7 linked regions of the Xenopus tropicalis genome follow. The protein of the gene in region 6 interacts with the protein of the main gene of each other region in a biochemical or structural test. Links are inferred from orthologs where the notes say so. Each region holds a gene or a part of one and is shown on either strand. Other genes may lie near its edges. The genes, in order: ptpn1, itk, pdgfrb, lcp2, axl, grb2 and faslg.

What was found.
Region 1: the proteins of grb2 (region 6) and ptpn1 form a complex in vitro, tested with the Homo sapiens proteins (2 studies listed by BioGRID). The link is inferred for Xenopus tropicalis from reciprocal best matches to the Homo sapiens genes GRB2 and PTPN1.
Region 2: the proteins of grb2 (region 6) and itk form a complex in vitro, tested with the Homo sapiens proteins (2 studies listed by BioGRID). The link is inferred for Xenopus tropicalis from reciprocal best matches to the Homo sapiens genes GRB2 and ITK.
Region 3: the proteins of grb2 (region 6) and pdgfrb form a complex in vitro, tested with the Homo sapiens proteins (2 studies listed by BioGRID). The link is inferred for Xenopus tropicalis from reciprocal best matches to the Homo sapiens genes GRB2 and PDGFRB.
Region 4: the proteins of grb2 (region 6) and lcp2 form a complex in vitro, tested with the Homo sapiens proteins (4 studies listed by BioGRID and IntAct, with this or other methods). The link is inferred for Xenopus tropicalis from reciprocal best matches to the Homo sapiens genes GRB2 and LCP2.
Region 5: the proteins of grb2 (region 6) and axl form a complex in vitro, tested with the Homo sapiens proteins (2 studies listed by BioGRID, with this or other methods). The link is inferred for Xenopus tropicalis from reciprocal best matches to the Homo sapiens genes GRB2 and AXL.
Region 7: the proteins of grb2 (region 6) and faslg form a complex in vitro, tested with the Homo sapiens proteins (2 studies listed by BioGRID). The link is inferred for Xenopus tropicalis from reciprocal best matches to the Homo sapiens genes GRB2 and FASLG.

What each region holds. Positions count from the first base shown.
Region 1 is NC_030686.2:35,883,142-35,887,010, reverse strand, and holds part of ptpn1 (tyrosine-protein phosphatase non-receptor type 1), read left to right. Parts: intron 1-1,944; coding exon 1,945-2,045; intron 2,046-3,132; coding exon 3,133-3,231; intron 3,232-3,869. UniProt on the Homo sapiens protein: Tyrosine-protein phosphatase which acts as a regulator of endoplasmic reticulum unfolded protein response. Mediates dephosphorylation of EIF2AK3/PERK; inactivating the protein kinase activity of EIF2AK3/PERK.
Region 2 is NC_030679.2:14,179,355-14,183,728, forward strand, and holds the start of itk (tyrosine-protein kinase ITK/TSK), read right to left. Parts: upstream 2,856-4,374; 5' UTR 1,440-2,855; coding exon 1,302-1,439; intron 1-1,301. UniProt on the Homo sapiens protein: Tyrosine kinase that plays an essential role in regulation of the adaptive immune response. Regulates the development, function and differentiation of conventional T-cells and nonconventional NKT-cells.
Region 3 is NC_030679.2:21,233,391-21,237,259, forward strand, and holds part of pdgfrb (platelet-derived growth factor receptor beta), read left to right. Parts: intron 1-827; coding exon 828-1,020; intron 1,021-1,942; coding exon 1,943-2,058; intron 2,059-3,267; coding exon 3,268-3,391; intron 3,392-3,586; coding exon 3,587-3,807; intron 3,808-3,869. UniProt on the Homo sapiens protein: Tyrosine-protein kinase that acts as a cell-surface receptor for homodimeric PDGFB and PDGFD and for heterodimers formed by PDGFA and PDGFB, and plays an essential role in the regulation of embryonic development, cell proliferation, survival, differentiation, chemotaxis and migration.
Region 4 is NC_030679.2:32,338,424-32,342,292, forward strand, and holds part of lcp2 (lymphocyte cytosolic protein 2), read left to right. Parts: intron 1-1,711; coding exon 1,712-1,755; intron 1,756-2,288; coding exon 2,289-2,466; intron 2,467-3,050; coding exon 3,051-3,139; intron 3,140-3,869. UniProt on the Homo sapiens protein: Adapter protein primarily involved in signaling pathways within T-cells, as well as other immune cells such as platelets, mast cells, and natural killer (NK) cells.
Region 5 is NC_030684.2:79,144,340-79,148,208, forward strand, and holds part of axl (tyrosine-protein kinase receptor UFO precursor), read left to right. Parts: intron 1-199; coding exon 200-300; intron 301-383; coding exon 384-566; intron 567-3,869. UniProt on the Homo sapiens protein: Receptor tyrosine kinase that transduces signals from the extracellular matrix into the cytoplasm by binding growth factor GAS6 and which is thus regulating many physiological processes including cell survival, cell proliferation, migration and differentiation.
Region 6 is NC_030686.2:44,468,036-44,472,586, forward strand, and holds the start of grb2 (growth factor receptor-bound protein 2), read right to left. Parts: upstream 2,922-4,551; 5' UTR 2,902-2,921; intron 2,877-2,901; exon of another isoform or gene 2,854-2,876; intron 1-2,853. UniProt on the Homo sapiens protein: Non-enzymatic adapter protein that plays a pivotal role in precisely regulated signaling cascades from cell surface receptors to cellular responses, including signaling transduction and gene expression.
Region 7 is NC_030680.2:107,205,746-107,210,091, forward strand, and holds the start of faslg (tumor necrosis factor ligand superfamily member 6), read right to left. Parts: upstream 3,126-4,346; 5' UTR 3,062-3,125; coding exon 2,798-3,061; intron 1,436-2,797; coding exon 1,390-1,435; intron 1,037-1,389; coding exon 980-1,036; intron 248-979; coding exon 1-247. UniProt on the Homo sapiens protein: Cytokine that binds to TNFRSF6/FAS, a receptor that transduces the apoptotic signal into cells. Involved in cytotoxic T-cell-mediated apoptosis, natural killer cell-mediated apoptosis and in T-cell development.

The sequences.
Region 1 (3,869 bases), about 8.6 Mb from region 6:
TGTTATGATGGCATAACGTCATTTCCGCTATTAGCAGCTCCCGCCGTGCCTTGCATTATCCCTTGAAAGCCAATTTTTTTGTGAAATCCCTTATGCGGCCCAGCCTCATCCTGACTTTGCCTCCTGCGGCCCCCAGGTAAATTGAGTTTGAGCCCCCTGCCGTACAGGCTATGAGCAAACTTAGGGGGCTGTTCCTGCTGAATTGTGCTTAGTACAGGGGAATCCCTATGTTGCCATAGTTTTATGGTACCTCTCCGTACAGGCTATAAACAAACTTAGGGGCTGTTCCTGCTGAATTGTGCTTAGTACAAGGGAATACCTATGCTGCCATAGTTTTATGGTACCTCTCCGTACAGGCTATGAGCAAACCTAGGGGGCTGTTCCTGCTGAATTGTGCTTAGTACAGGGGAATACCTATGCTGCCATAGTTTTATGTTATCTCTCTGTACAGACTATGAGCAAACTTAGGGGGCTGTTCCTGCTGAATTGTGCTTAGTACAGGGGAATCCCTATGCTGCCATAGTTTTATGGTACTTCTCCGTACAGGCTATGAGCAAACTTAGGGGGCTGTTCCTGCTGAATTGTGCTTAGTACAGGGGAATACCTATGCTGGCATAATTTTATGGCATTTCTCAGTGCAGCCTATAAACAAACTTAGGGGGCTGTTCCTGCTCCAAGAGGAGTGAAGGCAGGAATAACTGAGCATGCCCATTCCTTTGCCCACGTATTTACATATCTTTATACAAGTTGGCTAAAGTGATATTGCCAGTCAGTGCACTTAATGCTATTCAGACAAGTGAGGAAGAGGCAAGGTTTACACTGCCCTGGCAATTGCTGAACAACTCATTCTTTATTAATATATATTTTTTTAAATTTGGAGAATAATCTACCCAAAAGGGGAACTTCCCTGGTTCAGTCATACAATTACAGTTCTCTTTTCCGACTTTGCTCTAGTCTCACACTCATGCACCTCTATGGCAATGGTGACTGTGTAGGGGTGTTAGAGGTCAACAATGGAAGCTTACCAAAGCCTGAAACTGCCAGCAGCTAGTAACCCCTTCCCAGGCACTGGGAAAACAAAGACATACATATATACATTCATATTTACATTAAATATTATAGACATATTCATTCTCTTTATCTGCCCAAAAATGGTGCAGGGCTGGAGTGCTTCAAGATTTTACATTTTTTATATTCTCTGTGTCTTAAAGGGGGTGGTTCACCTTTAAGTTAACTTTTAGTATGTTATAGGATGGCCTAATCCTAGCGGTTTTGGTCTTCATGATTTATTTCTTCATAGCTTCTGAATTATTTGCCTCTTTCTGTTTTTGAAATGGGGGTCACTGACCCTTGCAGCCAAATCACTATTGCTCTGTGGGGCTACAATTTTATTGTTACTTTTTATTCCTTATCTTTCTATTCAGTCCCTCTTCTATCTATATTCCAGTCTCTCATGCAAACCACTGCCTGGTTGCAACAGTAAACAAGGCCCTAGCAACCGGATAGCTGCTGAAAGTATTTTGAAAATAGGTAATTGTTAACACTAATAGCTAGTTTCCCTTTAAATTTTCAAATGAATTCAACAATTACCTGAGCTTGGGTTTTGTACAGTCCCAGTAAAACAAGTGGGTCACCGACCCCTTCTCCACTACTTCTCCGCTACCTTTGCTTTATAACATATTTGGGTTCCGTAGTGGATTTTCCTTGTCCTTTTATTAGCAATTCCTTTTCATAAGATGAATGAAATAGTAAGGACTTTATTTAGACAAGTGGTTAGAGCGAGAGAATTAATTACTCTGACGTAGGCTGTTAAGCTGATACATTTGTATTTGTGTGTTTAAATCAGTAAATACGATTAACTCAAGCCGCTTGTACTTCTGACTCGGTGCCTGTGGCTCATTGGGCCTCTCCAAGTAATTTCACCCGGTTCTGTTTCTGTCCCAGTTGACCACAGTCGAATAAAACTGCACCGAGAGGACAATGACTACATTAACGCCAGTCTTATCAAGATGGAAGAGGCACAAAGGAGCTACATTCTTACCCAGGTGAATATACGCATGTAGATGTTGCAGCAGAAGGGGAGAAGGATTAAACCGTAACATTTGAGTTCAGTGAAACAATAGTTTTCAATGTTTGGCAGCTGCATCCCCTGGTGGGTAAACCCCCCCCCCGCCCCCATTCACTTTTGTAGCAATTGCATTTAAGCACAAGTGCACTGACATGGCAGGCAGCTCATTTGGCATTTTTTTCTGAAAGGTAGGTGGGGAAGTTGCCACTTTTGCTCCTTATTCAGTGTCGTGTAGATATGTGCATAGTGCCCAGAGATAGGTTGTAGCTAGTACCCCCTAGCTAAAATATATATTTTAGTTTAAATGTTACTTTTGATTGTTTTATTTGTATTCCATGATATAGTAGTACTCAGCCTGCAAGCTGGAATTCTTATATGGCCCGAAGTGGTTTCTCATATTCTTATAAGTAACCTTAGGGGGTACATTATTCCTTATAATACATGATACTCAGAGTTCCCTGTATAACTCAGCCTGCAGCCTTGTGCCTTTATATGGGCACAGAACCCCTCAGTGACTTCTAATATCCTTATCATTTACAGTAGGGGGTACATTATCCCTTATAATACATGAGTGATACTCAGAGTTCCCTGTATAACTCAGCCTGCAGCCTTGTGCCTTTATATGGTCACAGAACCCCTCAGTGACTTCTAATATCCTTGTAATTTACAGTAGGGGGTACATTAGCCCTTATAATACATGAGTGATACTCAGAGTTCCCTGTATAACTCAGCCTGCAGCCTTGTGCCTTTATATGGTCACAGAACCCCTCAGTGACTTCTAATATCCTTGTAATTTACAGTAGGGGGTACATTAGCCCTTATAATACATGAGTGATACTCAGAGTTCCCTGTATAACTCAGCCTGCAGCCTTGTGCCTTTATATGGTCACAGAACCCCTCAGTGACTTCTAATATCCTTATCATTTACAGTAGGGGGTTCAACCCACACAGCACAGTAAACTTGATCTCAGCCACTTACTGGAATAAGAGAAAGGAATGGGGAGTTTTTGTTCTAAATAAGTATTATATTTGTGTTATTTTTGTGTGTTCCTTCTTCTATACAGGGGCCTTTGCCAAATACCTGTGGTCATTTCTGGGAGATGATTTGGGAACAGAAGAGCATAGGAGTGGTTATGCTCAACAGAGTGATTGAAAAGGGATCAGTAAGTATTTTCAACTTGTACCTTTTGTGTTTGCTCTGAGCCCAGACTTGTTTAATCTGTGCCACAATGTAGCTGCCTACCCCGTGCCAAAATGAAATATGCGCTGAGCCAATGCGCTTGGGTGAAGGTACAGTTGGCTTCATGCTGCACGGGATTAGATGTGGTTTTCCTGAAGCTCTTTATGCGGAAGTGCAATTTGCTTTCACTGTTTGACAAAAATGTCCTGTAAATCCAGTAAATATTCCCCCTTATAGAATGCACAGAAATACTTGAGTCAAATAAACCTGTAATACCCATTATCAATTAACCTGTAAGCCCGAGGCCATAAATGCTAATGTCATTAGCAGCATTTGGAATTGGCTCCCTCTATGGCTTCCAGACACCCTGGAATAGGCCAGGTTGCCCACGGCCATACAGAAACAGGACTCAAAGCAAAAGAAAAAAACGCAAGAGTCAGTGCAAGTAAAACAGCTGCCTTAAATAAATATGCCCCAAAAGAAGGTTCTTGAAGACCCCGTACAGCAGCCCTATATGTTTGTTGCTTGGACTCTGGTGCGACTTTTTAATCTTAAATACTTTAGCACTATTTTTGGGTTGTAAGAAACATATTTGATTTGCCAACTTGTCTATATATAAGC
Region 2 (4,374 bases), on a different chromosome or scaffold from region 6:
AAAATTAACAGCTTTATAGAGGTTATATGTGGTTGTGGGGGGCCCAGACCATGGGATCTGCTTCTTCCGTAGGTGCTAGAAATCCCCCTTCCCCAACTGCTCTCTCCTACCTAACGTGGCACGAGCAGGGTACAGGAGCATGCGGGGGCCAGGTAGGGCTTGCTTTGCATGCCGTGCCCCTCCAAAGATTTTTTTTATGGGGAAGGGGTGCCTGAGGCACATTGTAGATACACCACTGGATGCAGGTACTGGCTCGATTGCCCTTTTTGTAGTTAAGAAGAAAATTTCCCCCCCTCTAGGGCAAACAGGAGATGCTAGAAGGCAGAAATTACAAAAAGGTTCACATTGATGGACATGTGTGTTTTTTCCACCACCATTTAATTTGTAACTGTGTTAATGTTATAACTGTAAAATATACACTTCAAGCCAACATGATTACATGATTACTAAAATACAGGTACAAACCACAAAGGGCTGGGTCAGAAAAGACATTTGCCCCAAGCCCACTGCATCAGGAGGGCAACAAAAACAAACTTTTCAGATGGAAACGCAACTGCCTGTATGGCAGGCAGTAAAGACAGGGCTGGCCTGCACTTGCTGCTGATTGGCTTTGCACCTTGCAATTTTTTTTTCTTTTTCTTAAATGACCTCCAGTTACTCTACTATATCATAATAAACAATGTAACATGGTTTATGATAATGAGCAGATATAAGCAACTAATGATGAAACAGCTGTTAGAGAAATACAACTTCCAGCAAGAATGCCCCAGCAAGAAGAATGCTGGAAGTTGTAGTTATAAAACTGAAATAACTTTATCTGGACTATGAATCAGAATAGTGGAATAAAGCCCAAGGAGGTTTGCGTTATGAATGCATATGCCTGCAGTCAGGACATCCAATATTGAGGCAGGTGTTTATTTAGAGGCCTATCATTTTTGTTAACACTGTTAGCACAGTTTTGTACTGAGGTCAAAAGATTAAAATATATTTATGAAGTCCTTTGGTACAGTAAGACAAAACTGCTGAAGCACTAAGCTTAGCGCATGTCAAGGATATAACCAACATTGCTACATGGGTCCTTACTGGTATGATAAAGACAAGAGAAAAACCCAGGGAGTAAGATGGGGCAGAAAGAGAAAGACAAGGATGTAGCTCCAACCCTAATAAGACACACAAGCATTCATATCAATACAACATTCACACAGACCCTTGTTTGTAGGAACACTGTGAACAAAGAAGCCAAAGAATGAAACCACATTCCAACCTAATGCCCTACAAACCCTTGTGCTACATTCGCTCACCCCTTGCCGATGCTCGTAGTAGTTGAGTGAAGAGTGGGTCAGGATGAAGATCCTGGACTTGTAGTTAGCTGGGGACGTCCTTCTCTTCTGCTGGGACTTCTTAATAAGCTGTTGTTGCAGGATAACAGGGTTATTCATCTGGGATACCAGACCCTGTTCCCAGAGTCACCAGAAGACCCCGAGGCAGATCACATAGAAAATATTTGTTTTTTACTTTTTTCAAGAAAAATTAAATGAGACCACCTAGTCCTTTAAGAAAACACTCTAAGAGAGAGGATGAACAATCACATGACTGCATGAGACTGTTAGCTGAAATACTCAAAAAGAAGGCAGAGTAGGGGAAGGGGTGCTGCCATAGAGAGCGGGGGAGTCACTTATCGAGACATCAGTGAGCAGAGCAAGGTGAAAAACTTGTTTTATGACCTCAAGCTTCAACCACATCCTTCTTTTTTCTATTAAGTTGCTTGTGTACAGCAGGGGCTCTCTCCAGCACATTTCACACATTTTTCTACCCACTGCTTTGCTGTATACCTTAATAACAAGTGCATTGCTCACAAAAAAGCACAAGAACTAACTTATAATGGACTAAATATTTCGAAGGCTTTAGTCATACATGTCTTATGTAACTTTACAAAAGTGGTTACATGTCTTATGTATCAATATGGAGGGCCACAAGTACCATATTGGTGAATTATAGTCAGTAAATAGCGCCATAATACTGGGGGGCAGAGAATAATGTTGTGAGCCCTTACCCCCCCCCCAAAAAGAATCAGCAGTGACTCAAGACTTGCACTTTAATTACTATATGCTTCCCTGTAGTTACCTGCACCAAGTAGGGTCATATAGTGAACTTACCATGTGGCCCGGGACTCTCAAGCATTCTGGTTAAGCTGGTTAAGCTTTGGCCGTGCCAAATATTCTCCACTTGAACTCAGCTCTTGCCAAAGCAGATCATCCTCCATAGCAATAATTATGCCCAAATAAGCTTGCATTACCCAGCCCAAGCTCAACCCAAATCAGCAATCCACCTACCACAGCTCTCCATGCTTCCATTTGTTGTCTGCCCAGTGGTGTATCCCTCCAATATCATCTTTATCCATCAGCATGACTTTCTGGCACTATATACCACAGCAGGATATTTGCCCTGTGCCTACCAATAGACTATCTGTCCCTTTAGCATTATAAATGACAGGCCTGGACTGGCAATCTGTGGAGTCTGGCATATGCCACAGGGACTGCTGTAATCTATCATAGACAGTCACTATTTAGAGGGCTGTTTTGGGCCTTTATGTACTTAAAATGCCAGGGCCTATTTTGAATTCCATTCTGGTCCTGATGACTGTGCAACACTATGCCCCTAATAACACAACTACCCAGAGGCTGTCACAAGTGCTTTGAAAATGTGCACTAAAGGTGTGATTTTGTGTCCCTTAGGGCCGTGGCAGATGGGGAGATTAGTCGCCCGTGACAAATCTCCCTAGTTGCGGGCGATTTATCTCCCCCATATGCCATCCCACCGGCTTAAATGTAAATCGCCGGTGAGATGGCATATGCAGTGACGTGATTTCCCGTAATCGCGGAAGTTTCCTCTCAAGGCATATGCCATCCCACCAGCGATTTACATTCAAGCCAGTGGAATGGCATATCAGGGAGATTACTCGCAGGCAACTTATCTCCCCGTCTACCACGGCCCTTAAGGTCCCCATACACTATAAGATCCGCTCGCTTGGCGATGTCGCCAAGCGAGCGGATCTTTACCCGATATCCCCACCTACGGGTGTGCGATATCGGGTAGGAAGTTGCTTTAAAAAAAAATAATCCGATCGTTTGGCCCTGGGGCCAAACGATCGGATTACAGTTGCGGCCATGGGGCAGTCGGTTCGGGGGCCGCATCAACGAGCCGATGCGGTCCCCGATCCGACTGGATTTTCTAACCTGGCCAATCAATATCTGGACAATTTCAGGCCAGATATCGGTTGGCCAGGCCGCTCGTTTCTTCCCATACACGGACCGATTAGCTGCTGAATCGGTCCAAGGGACCCATATCGGCAGCTTCTATCGGCCCGTGTATGGGGGGCTTAAGTGTTCCTACACTTGTAGCAGGGGCATCACTAAATTACCGCTCACAGCTCCCAAGCATACTTGTACACCAGCAGTATATCTGGCCCTTCAGCATCATGGCAATGCCACACTGTAGGGGCCATTTATTTATACCCCTGCTGCAAAAGCAAGAGCATTCCCTTAGTGCTCACTCTCAAAGCACTGACAGGGGCAGACCTCACATGCTGATAACAGGCTCCTCTGTCTCTTCATAGGCTGCTCCCAGTCTTCTCACAGACTGCCCTCCAGTTTCCACAAGTAATTTCAGCAATTTCCCACATGGAACCTCTCATTGTGCCACTGGCCCTAGAAACACAAAATACGCATTATTGTATCTCAATTTTAAAATGAAAGGTCCAGACCATAAACACCATAAAGAGAATAAAGATGAACATTTAAAAAATGTTTTATGTATGTCCAGCACCTACAAATATGTTCTATTTAATATGGGAATTGTTTTGAATTCTATGGGTGGGTAGAAAGCCATGAACCTATACTGTAGCAGACTCATGTTCACTACATCTTTTAAACCAGCTTGTTTTTGCTTTTAAGAGCAACAACCAGTAGTACAAAGACTATAACCAGCCAAACATATACTGCTTATAAAACATTCTTTTTGGGAAGCCACACGGCTCCCCCTGCAGTTGGCACCACGTTAAACGCTTCCAGCGCCTGCGCAGTAACACGCCATTGTTCAATAGTAACAGGTAATGGACGCTCTGGAAAGCGCGCTGACGTAACGTGACGTACCTCTTCCGGAAGTTGCTAGTGACTACTCGGAAGTGTTTGGTGTAGGGCGGAGATTGGCGGTGTGTTGTATTGGAGGAACGGAGCTGTTTGAAGGTGCGTGCGGTGGGGTGTGGGAATTATCCGGTATTGTATCCCTATTTAACGGCACACGGCGCTATCCCCATGACGCACAGTAATAGCCTTATAGGTTCTGGTACACAGCCTGTGAATAGTTCAGCCACAT
Region 3 (3,869 bases), on a different chromosome or scaffold from region 6:
CTGCACATACTGTTTGGCCAAGGCATTTATTAGTATAGGCAGGGCTGCCATCAGATATTATAGGGCCCTTACTATTACTTAGTTGACAGGGCCCTTGCCCCAAGGGAGTACAGCTTATTAGCCCACCTCGGGGCTGGACCCTGCCAACCAAATAGAATGGTATTCTATGAAAAAAGGCTTAACTAAGTTGCATGCCTGGCCATGTCTCAGATCAGCCCCTGCCGCAATCAGCGGTCCCTATAATGCCCACTCCTCCACAAGCCCTACATATTTATGATCTGTGAACTGGTCACCTGACTAGGCTCACCCAGTCCCCACACACACATATTTTCCCTCTGCCTGGGTACAGGGCTCCCCTACACCGGTGTGTGATGCTCATGCACCAAAGGAGGAGCAAAAAGGAGAATATAACTTGAACACCCTTCAGACATTTTGACCCTTTTTCCACCCATGGAGGAATGTAATAAAAGTCGTAAACAGAAAAAAAATGCACACAGATAAAAGCAAAAATTCACATTTCACAATATAATGTTGTTAATTAGACTATTCTTGCATTGCAAATTTTAATGGCGCTTTAAAAGAAATTTTATGACATACACTGCGTACTGTCGCAAACAATAACATTTGCAAACTTTCTTCCATCTTCGGAAGTGGTCGCTAAACAACTTTGGCGTTCACAAAGCCCATATTAAATTCGCACAAAGGCTAATTTGTTTGCACAGAGGCAGACATTTTGCCCAATAGACTGCATACCTGTATTTATATATGTATATATAGTTATATGGGAGTTGTATATCTTGCCTAAAATGTTAATTCTCTTTTTATAGAACAAGGATTTGTAAATATAATTACGAATGAAAGCAGCATATCCTATACTATCCAGCATAAAAGCAAATTATTTAGAATCAACATTGAGTCCTACCCACCACCCACCATTGTCTGGCTAAAAGACAACATTACCCTAACAGGCAATAAAACCAACCAAATCACTATTGTGGACAAAGCTACATCTAAAAACAGGTGAGTGCTTTAAGAAACAAACATTTAGGTGTAACCTTTACTTGTTCCAGCAGTTATGGTATTATTATTTTCTATTTACCAAAGCTGAATAGATACAGTTTGTTTTGCCATTGTGACCTGATGGCCAAATGGGCAGAGCATTGGCCAGTCTGGCTACACACAAGTAGTCAAAGTGGCCACAAAATGCCCTTATTGATCAAATCTGGTTGATAAGGCTGGTGGCTCATCATTCCATTTGGCCAGTGGCTTTATACAAGTATGTTATAGGATCATTAACTAAATGGATTTACCAATAAGCTCACACAGATATTGACTAGAATTTGGATTATTTTGACACGTACACACATGCAGATGTTGCCCAATAGAAGGATTTAGCCAGATATTGGTTGGTCAGAGCATCAGGGCTTCAATAAGCTGCAAACTGGGTCTGGAGGGGCCAAGTCAATGGCTTTTATAGCCTGTGCTTGACAACGTGCAGTTAAGAAAATATCCTCTGATATCTGAAGGAAGACAAACTGCAGGCATGGCGGCATACAGGGCATATTTCACTGTAAGTTGAGGAGCACTGCAGTTCTTAAGTATTGGTAAAACATAGGGTAAAAACAGTACTCCGTATGTAATGAGACTAAAAGACATTTTGGGTTTGGCTGCCCTTAGGATCATATAATAAAATATACACCCAAATGTAATTGTTTGTGAGTCCCTTACTGGCATATGGTGAAGGTAGGAATGTTAAGGGGGTATAGGCTTCTGTTTAAAAAGTAGTTACCAGAAACAAATAAATAGAAATACTTGTTTTTGGAGATGTTCTGATCAACCATTCTGTTCCAAGAAAACTATTTGCTCTTTTGGTTATATGTTCCCCCCCCTTCTAATATTGACTTCAGCCCAGCACAGGACCAATCTCTTTCTTGATCTCAAGGTACACAAGTCACTTATCCCTTGTGCGAGTGAAAGAACAGGACGCAGGCCTCTACACAATCAGGGTTTTTAATGAAGATACAACTCAAGAGAAGTCTTTCTACCTCCAGATAAATGGTGAGACATCTCAAATAGAGCCATTTAGACTGAGCTATGACTCAGGGTTTGGCAATGTTCCCATATTTCTCAAGATATTTTAGTTTGAATCAGATAAATTACTTACAGCTCTTTCCCAGTAGATGAAATCTCTCATGGGGGAGTAAAAAATAATTTCTGGTAAATAGCAGTTGCAGTTTGTGCCTGATCATTAGGCAGAGCTGGCACAGAAAGCCTTCCACCTTATTGGGTTTATGTTAAACAGTGACTGCCTCACATTTTCTTTTAGTTTATCCCATTTTTCAATGGCAGTACAAGAAAGCTTGCTGCACAGATAGGGCAAACCATATATCAGTGCTGTCCAACTTCTGTGGCACCGAGGGCCTACATGGTGGAGGGTCGATAATGGAAGCCAGTTTTGACCACTCCCCTTTTTTAAACCACACTTGAAACCACACCCATGTTATCACATGACCATACCGATATTAATTGTGGTAGTACAGCAAAAACCTGCCATACTCTGCCTTCCCTACCCTGCCTGTGTGTGCCATACTCTGCCTGCCCTATGCTGCCTGTGTGTGCCATACTCTGCCTGCCCTACCCTGCCTGTGTGTACCATACTCTGCCTGCCCTATGCTGCCTGTGTGTGCCATACTCTGCCTGCCCTACCCTGCCTGTGTGTGCCATACTCTGCCTGCCCTATGCTGCCTGTGTGTGCCATACTCTGCCTGCCCTATGCTGGCTGTGTGCTGGCACTGCGCCTACAGTCTGCACAATAACTTTATATAAAAAAAACTTTTTAATTGCAGTACCACCTCAGTATATGTTCTTTTTGTAGTGTGCAGGGTTTATTTGTAGGTTTCTCTTGCTCCTTCAGTCTGAGGTGTGAACATCTGAACAATGTGTGTGATTATAGGCTGGGTCTGAGGTGTGAACAATGCAGTGGTTGAACAATGTGTGGATTAAAAAGTGTAAACAACACAGGGGATTACATTTTTTAAACAATACAGAGGGATTACAGCCTGAATCTGAGGTGTTAACCATGCAGGGGGCCAGTACTGACCATTTAAAGATTACACAAATTTAAGCCATCAAAGCAGCCAGACAGGTGGGGGGCCACACAGAGGGGGCCGCATGCGACCAGTTGGACAGCACTGCCATATATGAAATGAAATAGGACCCTATATGAAAGGAATAACACTGATATGCTATTACCTTTTCCTTGTGCAGTGCCCCCTGAAATAACAGAGCTGGTGGATACCCACCCCGCGAGTGGCAGCCAAATAGTCACATGTATAGCTAAAGGAATACCAGCCCCAGAAATGACATGGCACATCTGCACTGAACTCAAAAGGTAACTAGTTGCCAATAATGCTATTTGCTTGCATCTGTCTTTATAATTAATGTCATTAGAGGTCTCAGTTCCCAACCCACTTTGATATGCCCCTGAGTTTTGATTTGATAACACATGCACTATTCACTATTTGTGGCCCTTTTTCCCCATTGTAGGATACTGAAGGTTGTTATATTTTAAATATCTATATAATAGGTGTAACAGTAAGGACCTGGAGTCATGGAAACTTCTTGATAACAAAACATCAGACCTAGAGTTCCACACCAACATCAGTTACATAGTGCTGGAGGGTCCCGGTCCTCACACGGTAAAAAGTGTCCTTCACTTCAAAGGTCTGGAAGATTCCATCACAGTCCGCTGCTCAGGCAAAAACCTCCTTGGGATAAGTTACAGAGATGCCACACTAGCACCACACCGTGAGTAAACTTCATTCCTCCTGCCATTATGGATGGAAGTTAATATACAGTACCTCCATTCA
Region 4 (3,869 bases), on a different chromosome or scaffold from region 6:
CCAGTTAGATGTCTCTGCACTCTTTCCAGCTCATTCATATCTTTCTTAAACAAAAGAAGCCCAAAACTTTTCTGCATTCTCAAGATGAGGTTAAACCAGGCATTTATAAAATGGCAGTTGTGTCTGCATCTTGAAGAAGACCACGTTATGATCACTAGTACGTTATGATCACTAGTACATAAATCTGTGTTGTGTTTTCTGACTTGGCTTCCACATTAATCCAGCCAAACTAAAATTGCTATAGTTGCATTCTGACCTACTGTAGTTGTGAAGCTCTTTCCATTTGCAGTAGAGCTGGGCCTCATTCTTCTTCCTTGTACTAGATGGTTGTTTGTTGCATCAGTCAACCAGTCCAATCCTATGTGGGGGGTTGAGGGCAAAGGGCTCAATGTGTTAGAGATGATTTGAGGAAATGAAGAAATGTGCTTATCACCCGTGGTCGTGCTTCTGTGGCCTCTAAAACATGGGGCAAGTCAAATAACTTGTGAGATTTAAGCAATGAGTGCCGGGCTGTAGGATGGGGTGGAAAATTTCTCCCAAATCCTATACATGGATCCCACCTAGGTATGGCCTCAGGGGTTCTAATAGTAAAATAATATGCATGAAGCACACTACTTTCTGTTCTTGAAGTGGATACTCTAAAATATTTTTTATTTTTTCTATTCGCCATTGGGGTAAGTTTTCACAGGGGCAACAGTGACTCTATACATCCTGGCCTTAGACCAACCTTTTTATTTACCATTAGAGGGTTCCTTATCTAGTCAGTAACAACCTCCCACCCTCCAAAAAAGCAAAGATGGGGTATGACCAGTTTGTTTTCTGTTTAAAGAGCATTGAAAAACTTCATAGCTATGCGCATATAAATAAAGCATGTAAATTGCTTTTTTCTCAATTGACTACAGAAGCAGAACACTTTTTTATAGATTTCTGCCTCACACTGCTACAACCCTTTTCCTAATGAAATGTAAGTGCTGTGCATGGTCTGTGAGCCTGATGCGAAAATAAATTGTGCTCCATCTGTGCATTTATCACTGGAAGCTTAGATTCCTGTTAATATTGTCCCTTGATGCTGGAAGCAGGTTTTTCAAATTCATCTCAGAATAAACGGAATAACAGTGTCGTACCATTGCTTAGCGTTTCAGCTTAGTTACAAGGGGGGGTTAAGATAAAAGCTTTTCATACTATTAGGTGTCATTGTCAGTACTTGTTGATATAAGGATATAACAAATGGTTTTTGGATTCTTCTTTAGCATTAAAGGAGACGTAAAGGTACAATCATTTGGGGGGTGCAAAAATGTTAGGCACCCCCCAGTGACAGTAATCGCTTACCTTATACCCCGGGCTGGTGCTCCTGTTAGGAGAGAATTGCACCAGGGCCCCGGGATTCAGAAGAAAGTCGAGGAAGAGGATTGCTCAGTTGCAGCTACCCTGGGCTGGTGCAGTTTTCTGCTAACAGGAGCGCCAAACAGGTAAGCGACTGGGGGGAGTCTAACATTTTGGCACCCCCCAGTGATTGTACCTTTCCTACTCCTTTAATGGCAATGACACACAGCCTACTTGTTGTGGCTACTAAATAGACACCACTGATAATTGTTTCTACTAGTGTTTTAGCAAAGACAATTTGTTATTGAACTGGCTACAAGTAGCTCAGTGTGTGGCATAGCCCTATGTCTTAATAAATGCAATTTATCCTATCTCCTTATTCTTTTAGAATTTATTCCTGAAGACAAAGAATTTTCTGACTCTGACTCATTTGTAAGTAATCATACCCAAGTGATATATTTCAGATAGATAATGCAGTTAGATTAGAGTTTAGAAAAAAAAAATGGAGCACACCTCAGATCAAATATTAAACCCATCTAATCTTAATGGGCAGTGCAACCTTCTGCTTTATGAAGTGCAATGAAGAAGGGGCATCCTCTGTTACACAATCTGTAATCTGTCCTCAGATCTGACTAGCAGGTCTTGGTCATGGCCTAAACCTATAATCTGGTCAATGCATCAAAATAAGTCGTGGTGTAAAAAAAAAAAGTCACAGACAAATAAGGAAAAAGTTGTGTGCATCAAGTGGTGTGGAAGCCATGTTTCCCAAATTTCTTTACCATTACACACATTTTTAAGCAGTTTTGCAAATGTGACAGATTTGCTTATCACTACCATTCACTACTTGCAGTTTTTGAAGTATGTATTGGCAAGGTATAGGGCAATGGTTTCTCAGTATGTGAAAATGTCATTTATATCCAACTGATTACTAATTTTATATCCATATTTAATGTACATATGAACAGGAGGAGGATTATGAAAGTCCCAATGAGTTTGATGATGATGACTATGAACGCCCAGCATCAGAAAATGAAGAGGATGAAAATGAAAATGGAGATTATGAGCCACCTCCTCCCAATATTGAAGATGCTCATCCTCCCATATTTCAATTAAAGCCAAATGTAACTAACTCCCCCTATGCAGGTAAATTAGGTACATTGTGTACCTTTCTAATTACCATAAACCCATAAACTCAATTTACATACAATTAACACTTCTAAAAATTTGGAAAAAAATCTGGAAAAATATGCTTTATTATTTTAAAAAAAAATTAAATATACTCTAAGGGGCAGATTTACTAATCCACAAATTTGAATCACGAATGGGAAAAATTCGGATTGGAAACAAAAATTTCTAAAGATCTCAAATATCCCGAAAATGCTTACGAAAAAATCATATTACTCACGATAATATCGTATTGACGATCCGAAAGTCACAAAATTTTCGTACTGTCCATTGGAAACAGCGGCAGAGCCTTTCCGAATTTTTTATGCGGGCACGCGGAAAAAACAGCGAGAATACGCTCGGAGCGTTCGTATGAATGCTCCAGCGTTCGGGTCTTACTGAATCTCCCCCTAAATGTTTATCGATGGAAAGGTGCTTAATATGCAAGCAAGGCTTCAAGCCAAGCTCCTGTTTTATATGTATGACCATATTATTGTTAGACATTCTGAAGTTTTGAGTTAATAAACATTTCTAATTATTAAATATTTCTTTTGAATATTTAGACAGAGAGTTTGGAAATTCTACCAAAAATCCTCCAGAGCCCCCAAAGAGGCCGGGGAATCCAGGACTTCCACCAAACAGGGGACATACTGTAAGTTGTTTGTTGACCTAAAAAAATGAAAATAATATATGAATATATTTAGATTAAACCCAATAAAAAACTGTCTCTGCAGTGTTGTCTTAATATTTTTAAATGTAAATTTTAATATTTAAATTTTAATGCAGGTAAAGAAGGGACATTATTTATTGTCTGGATGCAAGAAGGTGGAAAATGGACATATTGTAGTCTTACCCCCATATTGGGTTTATTGTCCAGTAGCAGTAACCCATAGCAACCAATAAAATGTTTGTTGTTTGCTTTTAAAGAGGTGACCAGTAAATTCTACCTGCTGATTGGTTGCTATGGGTAGCTCCAGGGCAGACTTAGTGCCTTTTATTACATACCCCCATTAGTATTCAACCCAGCAATGGATTTAGGACCCTGACCAGGCATGTATATTTTCTATTTCTGATTCCATTCTAAGATCTATTGTCCGAAAGAGATGCCTAGAAATTGCTGACTTGGCAAATCAACCTTCAGTGCAATTGTACCAAAGCTGATAAACCAAAAACATAACAAGGTTGAATGATGACCATCAGCTGACCCAAAATGCAACGACAGTATTCCCCATGCTTCCACCAATTCATACAAACTATCAGGGGGCAATCCAGTAATGAAATTAGAATGTTTTAATATCTCTGTGCTTCCCGCAATTAATATTGATATCCAAAGATGGCAAATATTTATCTAACATAAGCAGTTACATACAGAGACATAGTAA
Region 5 (3,869 bases), on a different chromosome or scaffold from region 6:
GCTTCTCTTATCAGTTGCAATCCTGACAGAAAACAATATAGAACACTACCCTCTAAAGATGAGGCAAACTTGATCTAAACATTTGGCTCACACGACTCCTAAATAGACTTTAGAATTCAGGGTGTCAGTTAAAGCACCTTCTTATCATTTTGAAATAACTCAGATTTAGAGATTTTGTTTCCTGTTGATTATTTTGCAGCATTCCCTCCCTGCAGTTGTCAGACTCAGGGCAATATAGCTGTGCAGTAACTATTGAAGGAGAGGAGATTCTATCTGACGAGGCCTACTTGGAGCTGGAAGGTTTGTGCATTCATATCTTTACGTTTATGGCTTTTACACTAGTGTTTATTACTTATCCCGTGTGCCTCTCCCAATTTTTCTAGGTTTGCCAGTTTTTATTGAAGAACCCCAAGATCTAGATACTTACCCTAATCAATCATTCAACCTCAGCTGTTATGCCCAGGGTCCCCCTGATCCAGTTTATGTGATATGGCTGCAGAATGGGGCCCCCCTAAACTCTCTCAAGGATGCCTTAGCATTGCCGCCTTCTTTTCTAGAAGTGAAAGGTAAGAGACAATGTTCTGGTTATCAAAAAATGGTGGGTCAATAATCAGCTACATTTCTGCTTAGATGTCCTTGTATAGTTTAAGCTGTCTGCAACTGTCCATGATGATGTCAAAGAATTCAAAATGTGTTTTGTTTAACAGATATCATTGCATATTATTATTATTTATTATTATTCCTCTGTGCACCACCCATTTTGGAAAGCAGAAGGACTTCAAATACTAGAATAGAACAAGAGGAGGGAGTGGTTGCATGACCCGGCGAGCCTAAGGGGGCTTGGAAAATGGTTTGTCAGAGTATTATGGTTTCCTTTAAATCTGTGGAATTAAGAATGTCTCTGTAAAAAAAAAATTCATTCATATTTATTTATGGAAATTCAGATATTGTTTTTGCGCCTTTTTTTACATAACCCCAGAACAGGGATATATTTTCCCTTTAACATGCTGAGATACAAGCAGGGAATTGTTATTTTAATAAGGCACAGGTTGGGCTAAACACACATGTAGACATCACTAAAATGGTTGCTTACACTTCTATCACAAACACATTTTGAACCCCCATTTTATCTTGGTAAAACAGTCTCACTGAATTGACTGTATACAGCCTACAAGTTCCATCTCCTCTCCATGTTCTATTTTGGATAATAAAGCAGGGGCTTTTTTTGTAATTCATTCCCACTCTATTTTTAGTTGCTGTTATAAGTCTTTTTTTCCTTTTTTCTGGGGGAAATAATTTTTTACTGACATCTGGCATAGAAGAAGGATGGGGGTGGGAAATATTGAAAGCTTTCAGTCTTGGCAGAAATCAGGAAACTAGAAACTAGTTTTAAAACTGAAGCACATTCTGTACCAAGGGGCTCAGCCAACCATTGACAGAATGTACAGTAAATACCTGCCATACTAATGTAATACAGTAAGAGGTATACATATCATGCTGTGTAAAAAATAGAGTAAAACATTACCGGGATGTTGCTCATAGCAGCCAATCATATGCTTTTCTAACTGTTGAAATCTAATTGCTGATTGGTTGCCCTGGGCAACATCACTGGTAATGCTTCACTCCACTTTTTACACAGCATGACTAATTTAACCCTTAGGGGTATATTTATCATGCTGTGTAAAACGTTGCAACCAATCAGCAATCAGATTGTTACAGTAGGAAAACCAAAGAAAAGCATTTGATTGGCTGCTTTGAGCAACATCCCCGGTAATATTTTACTCAGCATGATATGTATACCCCTTACTGTATTACATTAGTAGGGCAGGTATTTACTGTATATTCTGTCAATGCTTGGCTGAGCCCACTTTTTACACAGCATGATAAAAATACCCCTTAATGAACTAAATACTAACTTTTCAACTATTAGTGGTACCATGGTTAGGTCTTTCAGGGATCTATGTTTTTATTAACCAAAAGGTGGGGATTGAGTTAAAACAGTGTGTTGGTCAATTTCTTCTCAGGCTAAAGGGCACCAATGGCAGTCAAGTGTTTATGGGTCATCCTGTAGCAATACCAAAGAGCCAGTTCCTTGTAAAGCTGCAACTAAACTATAGGCTGACACCAAATACAAAATTTATGCTCGCTTAAAATAAATAAGTAAGGTTGATGCTAATGTTATTTATGGTTCAGATATTCATCTGACTCAAAGGATCAAGGTACAAATCCGTACCAAATATAAAGTAGAGACCCGGGTGTCCATACCCCAGGTCTATCACTCAAGTAGTAGAAAAGTCTGAGAAGCGATATAAAGAAGCTCACCGTAGTCCCGTAGTGGCCCGGGTGCTTAGGGCCCCGAACCCGTAGCTAAGGCAAAATATCCAAAATAATGAAGGGTAAATCCAAGTGCACCGGACAGCAGGAGATTCTCTTCAAACTTTAGCCTTTATTCATCCATTTAAAAACAAGCCACGCCTAACGCGTTTCGTGCACAGATGCACTTAATCATAGGCAGCCTATGATTAAGTGCATCTGTGCACGAAACGCGTTAGGCGTGGCTTGTTTTTAAATGGATGAATAAAGACTAAAGTTTTAAGAGAATCTCCTGCTGTCCGGTGCACTTGGATTTACTCTTCATTATTTTGAACTATAGGCTGAAGCAGGTTTCAAGCAGGTGCCTTGTATATGTGCTTACAGTACATTTAGTCAAGGATAGTATATACATGAGCAATGATAGTATATACATGAGAGTACTTATGGTTACATTTTTAGTTTTTGCAGACAAAGAGTTTGTTATTCCACAAATACAATTTGTTTTTTGGATTTAATTATAATCATTAAAGATAATAAAATGCAAAAATGCAATGCAGTGCAAAAATGTAAAATGATACTGGATTGCCTACTCATCCAGTGATAGAACTACAGCAGAATAAAGGAGAAGGAAAGGCTAGTGAAGAGTTAATCTCAAGCTGCAGGCATACCTTCAGTTGTCTCAATAGCGCCCTTAAGTCTCCCCATATTTCACCTGTTCAGAAGATCAGAAGCCAAACAGGAAGAAAAAACACTGAGCTGTGTAAAGAAAGTTCCCATAATGCCTCACTCCTGCACAGACACCCAGACCAAGTGAACATGCTCAGTTAATAAGACTATGCTTCCTGCTTATTGGCTCAGATCTACATTCCTAAGGGGGGGGGAGTTCTTAGCATTCTTGAGGGAGGGGGGAGCAGGAGAGAGCAGAGAGCTGCATGTCTCTGGCACAGGAATTACAGACACAACTAATCTTTTTTCAGAGAAGTCAGTACAGCGTTTCTGTAAGTGCTTATGGCTGTATTTACATAGACCTTTCTGATAAAGCTTACTTAGTTTTTACCTTTCTTTCTCCTTTAAGTACTATCTACATGTACTATGTAAAACATATCATATTATATAAAATATAAGGATATTAGATGTCACTGGCGACTTTCATATCAATATAAAGACATGGGGCCAAAGGCAGAGTTCTTTCATACAGGTCATTAAACTGTGAGGTCAGCGAGTCATGTGACACAAATTATACCAACAAGCACTGATTCTAACTATTGGCATCAGTGGGCACCATTTGTAAGGATACAGTAGTTCTAGCTTGCCAGAGTTGTGGGAAGGGCTCGTGTGGTTATATAACTTTAGTGGGTAGGGAGTTTTCATACTGTGTTTTTAATGTAATGGTGGTCTAAAACCTTGAATAGGTAAGGTAGAACCAAAGCACTTACTTCTTAGAAATATGCCATGGAAGATTCTTATGCTGCACTACCATATCCCTCAAGGTTCTACTTTAATCAATATCCTTACAGAAAACAGACAGTGAAAAGCTATGCTGACATCTCTGCTGT
Region 6 (4,551 bases):
GCTGTTAATGGTCAACTTTGAAGGCCTGGATCATTACTGTTACTGCTGCACCTCTGGGCTGGTACTTTAATTTCTTTAATATGCACTCCTATTTAGGCTTTAGCTCTCCTTTAAAAGTTCATCATAATCAGATACATAACAAGCCATGGCCAGGTAGTGAAGCAATCAGCTTTGCTTGCTCTCCAGGCTGCGAGTAGCTACCAATCCCCACCCCTCAGCACAGGCCCGGGTAGCCAAAACAAAACATGTACATCCACATGAAAGGGAAAGTAACTGCGTAATTGCCTGGTTTACACAAGCACTTTAGCTGGATGCTGCTGCCTGACCGTGTGGGGTTAAGTGCTTTATATAAATAAGCCACACTGCACATTCAATATATTCTCACATACATCTAATCCACAAATAAAGTGTTTTAAAGGGCCCGTTTCAACAGCACAACTAGATGTTATGGGGCCCAAAGCCGATTAGCTACCCTTTATCAGCAGATTCCAACCCAATATGATAGGTTCCGAGCCATGTATTTGATCGCTGAGCATGCAGTGATCAGGCCTATATATTCCAAATGCAATCAAGCCTGCACCTCTAGAGTCCATAACAGGTGAATAGTGTTATTCCAAGAAATTTATAACCCTGATTGTGGCGTGTATGGGAGTGCAAGACAGCATAAAAGATAACAATGGGTTAACCACATACTCATAAGAGGAAATGCAAATAACCAAGACTATAGCTGTGTTACAATATAACGAAGTGAACAAAGTACAAATTCATCAAGGAAGAACTAGTATGAAGAAGGAAACAAATAATGGCCACCAGGTGGCGATGTTGCCACCGAAACCTATGGGGGGAAAAGGCTCGCACGAACTAAGTTCAATGGCAGCCCCCATCCTGCTAAATAAAGCAGAGGGAAAAAGATGTTCCGGGTACATAATTAAGCCAGTAAACAGATAATAAATATAAATAATAAATGCCGCATGTTGCAGGCATCTGTCAGAAACCAGCAGGGATGCGCCGAATCCAGTATTTGGCCAAGATTCAGCCGAATCCACAGTCCTGGCTGAACGGAATCCGAAAAATCACCAGACTTTTTGTCATGCAAACACGGAAGTTAAACATTTTTTGCCACGCGTTGTGTGCAATGCTAATTAGGAATCGGTCAAATGCTTTATATAGGATTTGGGGGTTCGCCAGATTCGGTGCATCCCTAGAAACCAGCATGTGAATTATACCCCAATCTCACCACACTGCCCCAGATTTGATTTCCTACAGTAAGTAATTAACACAAGATAAATATATACATACACTATAAATATACATGCAGCTGCGCCTCTAGCCCAGATTTTCTTTCTCCCACTTGCAACAGCAGGCGTCCCCTCAGCCCTCACATACAGTCTATATCCCCCCCCCCCCCCAGGTTTGGTATATATCCTCCAATCCCCCTTCTGCTCCTATAGCCCAGCAGGTCTGTATATCCTACTCAGAGTATAGGTCTTACACCCAGTGGCAATTCCCATTCACTTCTACTGGGGGTGAATTATAACATCTAAATGAGGGCAATTTGTCCCCCCAGAACAGACTCTATTCTTCCTTTCCCACCTTGCCCTTAGTTGCCAAGTCTGTGTCCCCCCCTGCCCCTTGTCTGGAAGCCAGTATAATATTTGCCCTATTTTACCCATCATCATCCTCCTCTGACAGTTCACTTCTCCCCTTGCTTCACCCTCATTAATCTCAATTTCCAGTCTATTCAGCTACTCAACTGTCCCTGTTCTGCCCCTGGTTTCACCCCCCCAGCACATCTGCTCTCTCTCGCTGTGTTACCCCCACTATGGTATCCCATCAGCAGTCTCTTTTCCTTTGTCACAGCTGTCACACACTGTTCCCAAGACACAATGCTCACAGTCAGCTATCACTCAGCAAAGGTTAATTAAGCCAATGAGGAGTCTGGTAGGGATGCTAAAAGCCAATCATACTGTGTGGGCCCATCTGACCCCACCTGGCCCTATCCACATGCTAATGACTGTGACTGCATATATCATGGCTGCACAGAAACCAGTGTAGCCCGCAGCACCAGAGAGTGAGATGTCAGTCCCGGCAAACTATCATTTCTCCCATTACACAGGTCCCCTCCTAAGGCTTGTGGCCCTATAAATGAATGTACAAGTAGGAGGGCCCCAAGCTGTGTGATTTCCCTACCCACTTCCCTTCTGAGGAATCCTGATATAGATCTCCCCCCCATCAGTTCCCCTTGCATTCAGCCCATCTCAGCACTTCCCTCAGTCTCCCCAATTCCCCCCACTTCCCCTTTCTGCCTCTCTCCCCCCAGCAGTTCCCTTACCCACAGCCACTGGCTGCTCCCGACCCCTACCCACAGCCACTGGCTGCTCCCGACCCCTACCCACAGCCACTGGCTGCTCCCGACCCCTACCCACAGCCACTGGCTGCTCCCGACCCCTACCCACAGCCACTGGCTGCTCCCGACCCCTACCCACAGCAACTGGCTGCTCCCGACCCCTACCCACAGCCACTGGCTGCTCCCGACCCCTACCCACAGCCACTGGCTGCTCCCGACCCCTACCCACAGCCACTGGCTGCTCCCGACCCCTACCCACAGCCACTGGCTGCTCCCGACCCATACCCACAGCAACTGGCTGCTCCCGACCCCACACCCGGCAGCCCCTCATCAGCCTCCCCAACTCCCTCACCCACTCTCCTTCCCAACAACATCGCTATCGCTCTGCGCACCCCTTCAACGGGCGCCACTCCTGCTGCTGCTGCTGTTGTACTACAGCTCCCACTATCCCCCCTCCTCCCTGGCAGCCCATGGGACTTTCAACTCAACAACAGCCGGACACCCACCCACCGCTACATCGACTTCTACGACACGGCTGACACTCATCTCCCCACCTCTCGATAGAGCTTTTCAGAACCCTCACCGAATTCCGCGGAGCCGCTTCTCCTGTCTCTCTCCCTGGCCGCTTCCGCTCCGCCCCGGGGCAGATCCTCCCGCGATACTTCCGGGGCTGCGTGAGTCCCTGCGAACGGCGCATGACGTCATATGAGACGTGAAACGCAACGCACTTGAGGGGCGGGGCAGCCCATGTTTTGTCAATACGGCTTGAGCTTGGGACAATGACTGCGGTTATTTGGTTATCTATAGTCATGTGTCCAAATGGTCACCAAATATTCACAACTCTCCTCTTGGCTGTACACATCACTAATAAACCTGTAACTCTCCCCTTGGCTGTACACATCACTAATAAACCTGTAACTCTCCCCTTGGCTGTACACATCACTAATAAACCTGTAACTCTCCCCTTGGCTGTACACATCACTAATAAACCTGTAACTCTCCCCTTGGCTGTACACATCACTAATAAACCTGTAACTCTCCCCTTGGCTGTACACATCACTAATAAACCTGTAACTCTCCCCTTGGCTGTACACAGGAATTATGGTATTTTTCTCCAGAAAAGGTGGCAAGCCTACACAGAACCCTATCATGGTGACTTCTCCCTGTGTGTTTAATGGTGTCCTGTGTGAAACCCATCTATATCTTCCCACATTCCAGGGCCAGTTTAAGGTAGGGTTGCCACCTGTCCGGTTTTGATCCAGACAACCTGGTTTTGGGAAAGTCAAACCCTCCTGCATTGATTCAGTGATCGGGCAATTGTCATGACCCCGCCTCTCCCCCCACCCACTTTCTCAGCTGGCAGAGGTGGCAACCCTAGTTTATGGGTATGGCAGGGGCAGCAGAAGATGTTTTTGGTTGGGGGCCAGGAGAGGCCCCACTTGTGCCGCCCACCCCTCTGCCTCTGTTTAGCCACAACTTCCAAAACCAGGGGGGGTGAGGGTAATTCTCTCCCCCAGTTCCAACGCCTATGGTGAGGGCATTTGCGCCATTGGTCAGTTAAGACCCCCTCACAGCAGGGGGTGTAGATGTAAAATAACACATACTACATTGAGGAGCAACTGATAGTTGTCTTACTGGAAAAAAAAAATACAGCGACCCTTTAATACAGTTCCTCATGTTGTGGTGACCCCCCAACCATAAAATTATTCCTAAGAACATCAGAAATATGTGTTTTTCAATGGTCTTATGCGACCCCTGTAAAAGGGTTGTTTGACCCCCGAAGGGGTCCCGACCCACAGGTTGAGATACAGCACTAACGGGAGCTACTAACCCTCCTGCCACTTGGGTGTCACCATGTCATTATCACTCAGTTCATCTTCCCCCCCCCCCCCCCCTTCACAATAGGAATGTATCATCTTGCAGTGCACCTTCCATTGCTTCAAAATAACATGGTAGAGCACTAAGGGGCGTTACTAGCACTCCTGCACAGACCCAATGCACCCTATCTTATCCTTTACTGTGCCTGAACTGGTGTGGCATTACACTAAAAGAGTCAAATAACTGGTTTAAAACTAAAACACAGGGGGGCTGCTGTAAGATGGCATAGACAGTCACTATTTATTGGGCTGGGGGGGGGGGCTGTTTTGGTCTCTGGGTACTTGGAATGCCAGGACCCAGGCCCAGACTGGCAATCTGTGGGTTCA
Region 7 (4,346 bases), on a different chromosome or scaffold from region 6:
GTATTTTGCATCAGTATGAGCTCTCCAGGGTACCTCTTGGACTTCTTGTAGACAGTATGGGACAATTCTTTACTCTGGCAGGAAGTGCTTCTGAAGTAAATAGATGAATAAAGGAAGTACAGGCCAGTCTGGTTCACCACTAGACCTCTGTTTTTGTACTGGATGCCAGAGGTAAAAGCGCGTCCAAATGTTTCTTCCCATGCTAATGGCAAAGTGGGTCCTTCTTTACCTTCTTTACCTTCTTTACCTGAAAAGGTATTTTTAAAATAATAATAATATATATGGTAATGGGGCAGTACACACCTATATACATCCTCCCTCGGAATCAGTATAATATATAGGACTTCTGTTTAGTTTTAAATTTATTTTTTTTTTAAAAATCCATGTTCCTTATTTTTAATATTATAAACCTTGTTTATCTGAAGGCCAAGAATCCGCCATGTGTGGCAGAAGCTATAACTAATCTGCAGCCTTTGTTTGTATAATCTTTCTATGCAAAGATAGACTGGTAATCTGTTTTACTACCTACTCCTCTACTGAGGACTGGTAATCTATTTTACTACCTACTCCTTTACTTCCTACTCCTTACTGGACAGAACCAAGAAAGTATATATTTATAAGGTAAAATTGGCCAAGCCTTATTTCTTGAGCTTATGTTGAATAACACCGTTAAACAGTTGTAGATTAAGCCCAGTCTACCTGCGACTGTAGACAATGTTGCAACAGTGTTGTACCTGAGCCTGTAAGAACCCAGTACCATATTCCCCTACCCCTCTATTCCCACTTCAGAAGAACCTTTTCAACAGGCAAGAGTGCTACTGCATATTAGGATGTAACATGCAACTGAAGAGTTCCCAGCAAAGTAGCTGGGAAAGGCCCTCAGAGGTCTTGGGCTGGTACCATGTGTAGTTATTATGTCCAAGGGTTTGTAAGTTAAGAATCCATACTTCATGCATTAAAAACACATATGATTACCTACCTGTTACATGTGCAGCAAGTCTACTTTCTTTTTTCTCAGTTGGGTGTTTGTTCAACCCTGTAAAAAGAGCAAACATTCAATTGATTTTCCAGTATGGTCCTAACCTAAGCACAAAGTGCAAAGTGAGAGAAATGCTAGGTAGACCAAGGCCAATTGTTGTTGATGTTGCAGGAAGGCTCACAGTTATTAGATGTAGCACCAAGCATTCCAACACTGGTTAAATGAATTGCCTGCATTGGCCATAGGCAAGAAATAGAAATTAGTACTTCACAACCTCAAAGTAACCGTCAAGTGTTGCTCACCAAATGCAGCAGCTAAAGGAGAACACTTCTAGAACTTACTCCCATATAAACTCTGCTAAATAGCATATGCCACACTTTTATTTTATAGAGAAACATATTGTAACTCACCAATTAATTTTTCCAAAGCAGGAGGTAATGCCTGGTCACCAGAAATCTAGAAAGAAAAAGTTTGTGGAGATTATTTGCATTTCCAAAAATCATTATCAGCTTTATGAAATCTGCATATGAACTGCAACTATGGAAATCATTATCTACTATACTATTTATTTCCAGCTGCTAAGTTGCTTTCTTTTCTATTACTAGACAAGGGGTGAAGCTTGGGCTCAAAGGAAACAGTGATGGATATTCCAACTGCTTTAATGTCAGTGTGTCTGGGGAAAAAAGTAGTTTCATGGAGCAGGAGCTCCTCCTATTGGATACTCTCCAAAAATATGCTTTTTAATTGCAGCAAGAAACACCTTTGGTCCTGTCTTCGTCCTGTGCACCTCCAAAGCAATTGGATAGACAGAAACACAGTAGCAGGAGTAAGGTGGTGCATTGGTTTTCTTAGTTCATGGTTACTTTAATATATACCACATATAAACCAATCCACGACACAGCTAATTTTTTAGCTCTAGAACAAGCACATTTTTAAAATCCCTCAATGCACCATTTAGAAGAAGTGGAGTTAAAGTTTTTTAAATTCTGTACATAGGTACAGGTATCAGACCCCTTATCCAGAAACCCATTATCCAGAAAGTTCTGAATTAAGGAAAGGCCATTTCCCATAGACTCCATTTTAATCAAATAATTCACATTTTTAAAAATTATTTTTTTTCTCTGTAATAATAAAACAGTACCTTGTACTTGATCCCAACTAACATATAATTAATCCTTATTGGAGCCAAAACAATCCTAGTGGGTTTAACTACAGTTTAATTTTTTTTTTGTTAGCAAATTTAAGGTAGGAGATCCGAATTACGGAAAGACCCCTTATCCGGAAAACCCCAGGTCCCAAGCATTCTGGATAATGGGTCCCATGCCTGTACTTGCCCAGGGATTTGTTAATTATATAAAAAAAAGTAATCACAGTTTTCCTATTCTCATGAATTAATGGAATTCTATAGACCACTAAACTATTATAGTGATATTATTGAAAAATATCTTATTGTAAAACCAAGCTGCATTATTATTTCTATGACAAATTTAAGGGTACCATCATTTTTAAATGGTGATGTGGAGAGAACCAAAGGTTTTTCAAGTAATTTATGCCCTTCCACTGAAAGCCCTGCCATGAAGTACAGCAGATAACCATGACACTGGGACAGCGGAGTCAATCAGCTTTCTGTGCATACAGAGGAACCACCAGAAATTTGTCTGCATTGGATCACTGTTTAAGGGCCACCAATGAGCAACCCTAGCTTGGTCAGAAATATCATTATAAAGCTTTTCTATGCTGCCAGATAAAACACTGGCAAGTTACTTAGGTTGGTTAGGTTAAAATAAAGAAAAAATCTAAAATTAATATGTTATGTACCTCCTTAACGTTGTCCAGTTCCTTTTGCAACTCGATGATTTTATAGGTGCCAAGACCAACACCAAAAAGTGCTAGCAAAATCAGAAGGAACATGATCAGCAAGTAAGTACAAGTGCCATCTTTACGTCGTTTTCTCCTGAAGTCCGGGAATGGGGGTGGTAGAGGCATATTGACTTGGTTTGGTGGCAATGGTGGCAATGGTGGGGTTCTACATGGATCCGTCCAAAAAACTGAAGGCTGTGCGTATCTCATATCTTGCTGCATAATGGGATTTGTCAATCTGAAATCAACGTAATGTGCTGCTGATGTCTTTGTATTGTGCTGTAGTTTTAGCTGCTGAAGGAAAAAACTGTGGTTGTTTCATGTGTAAGTACATTTATAGATTCTAGCTGCTAATTCACACCACCCTCTTCCACCCCCTTTCTTCCTCTCTTCATAGTTCAAAAGTGGAACAGAGTGTGATTCAAAATGCTACAGCATTCTCTTACTTGGTCATTCAGAGAGTGTATGGACTAGCAAAGCATAGGGATCAGGGTGCTTTTAATAAATCATAGTATTTTTAAAAAATATAGTAAAGGTTTTAAAAAGGAATGTTGGGGTTGACATTGCACAAAGGGTCACGGTTAACTGTTTCTATAAGCCGAGGACCTCTGCAAGTAGTTTCTATATGCCAAGCACCGGTCTACTCTCAGCCCACTGTGCAACCAAAGTGATATTTTACAGTGAATATAAAACAAACCACCATGTTCTCAGGACAAATCTCTTTCTGAAGTGGGTGTGATTTTGCTACTCAATAAGTTAATATGTATATAACTGTATATGACTTGGTAATAATAACAGGTGCATTCTGGGCAATTCTGCTGCCTAAGGGGGCAGAGCCCAGCTGTCAAGTGTTAGCCCAATGCCTAACCACAAATAACTCCCCATTGCCACTGTGGAGGGCCTGGTAGGTACATATGTTGGACGGAAGGTAGCCATTCCTGACTGGAGGTTTGCCTCTTGCTACTGCTGGAGATTATAATGCTTTTCAGTAGTTAGAAGCATTGTCAGTCTGTTTGAAAGAGGCATTGGATCTTAAAGTTACAAGTGTTCCATGGTAGCTATTAGCTGTTCCTTGCTGTTTACCTAGCCTGATGGCCAAAGCATCCCTGAGTCATGCTGGTGTCTCAGTAGGTTTTGTATAGCCCAATGCTCAATCTATTTATACCAAAGGTATACAAGAGGGGCTGCTGTAGTCTTTAGTTATCCGCTATGAAAATGGACCTTATGTGGCTTCCTTCATAGCTACAACTTGTCCCTTCTAGAGAATGACAATAAAAAGTACAGTTAAAAGCCAGTTGTGTCTGAAAAAAAAAAATACATTACAGTCACAGCATATATGATATGATGAAAATGGTCACTTACTCAGCTAAGCAGAGGCAAAGCAAGACAATGCTCAGTCCATAGTCATGGCACTTAAAGGACTCCTCTAAAATTACTCCTTTATATGACAGTTACCATCTTATTTCATTCTTCCAGGGATCCCTAGGTTGACAGTTGACATGCATAA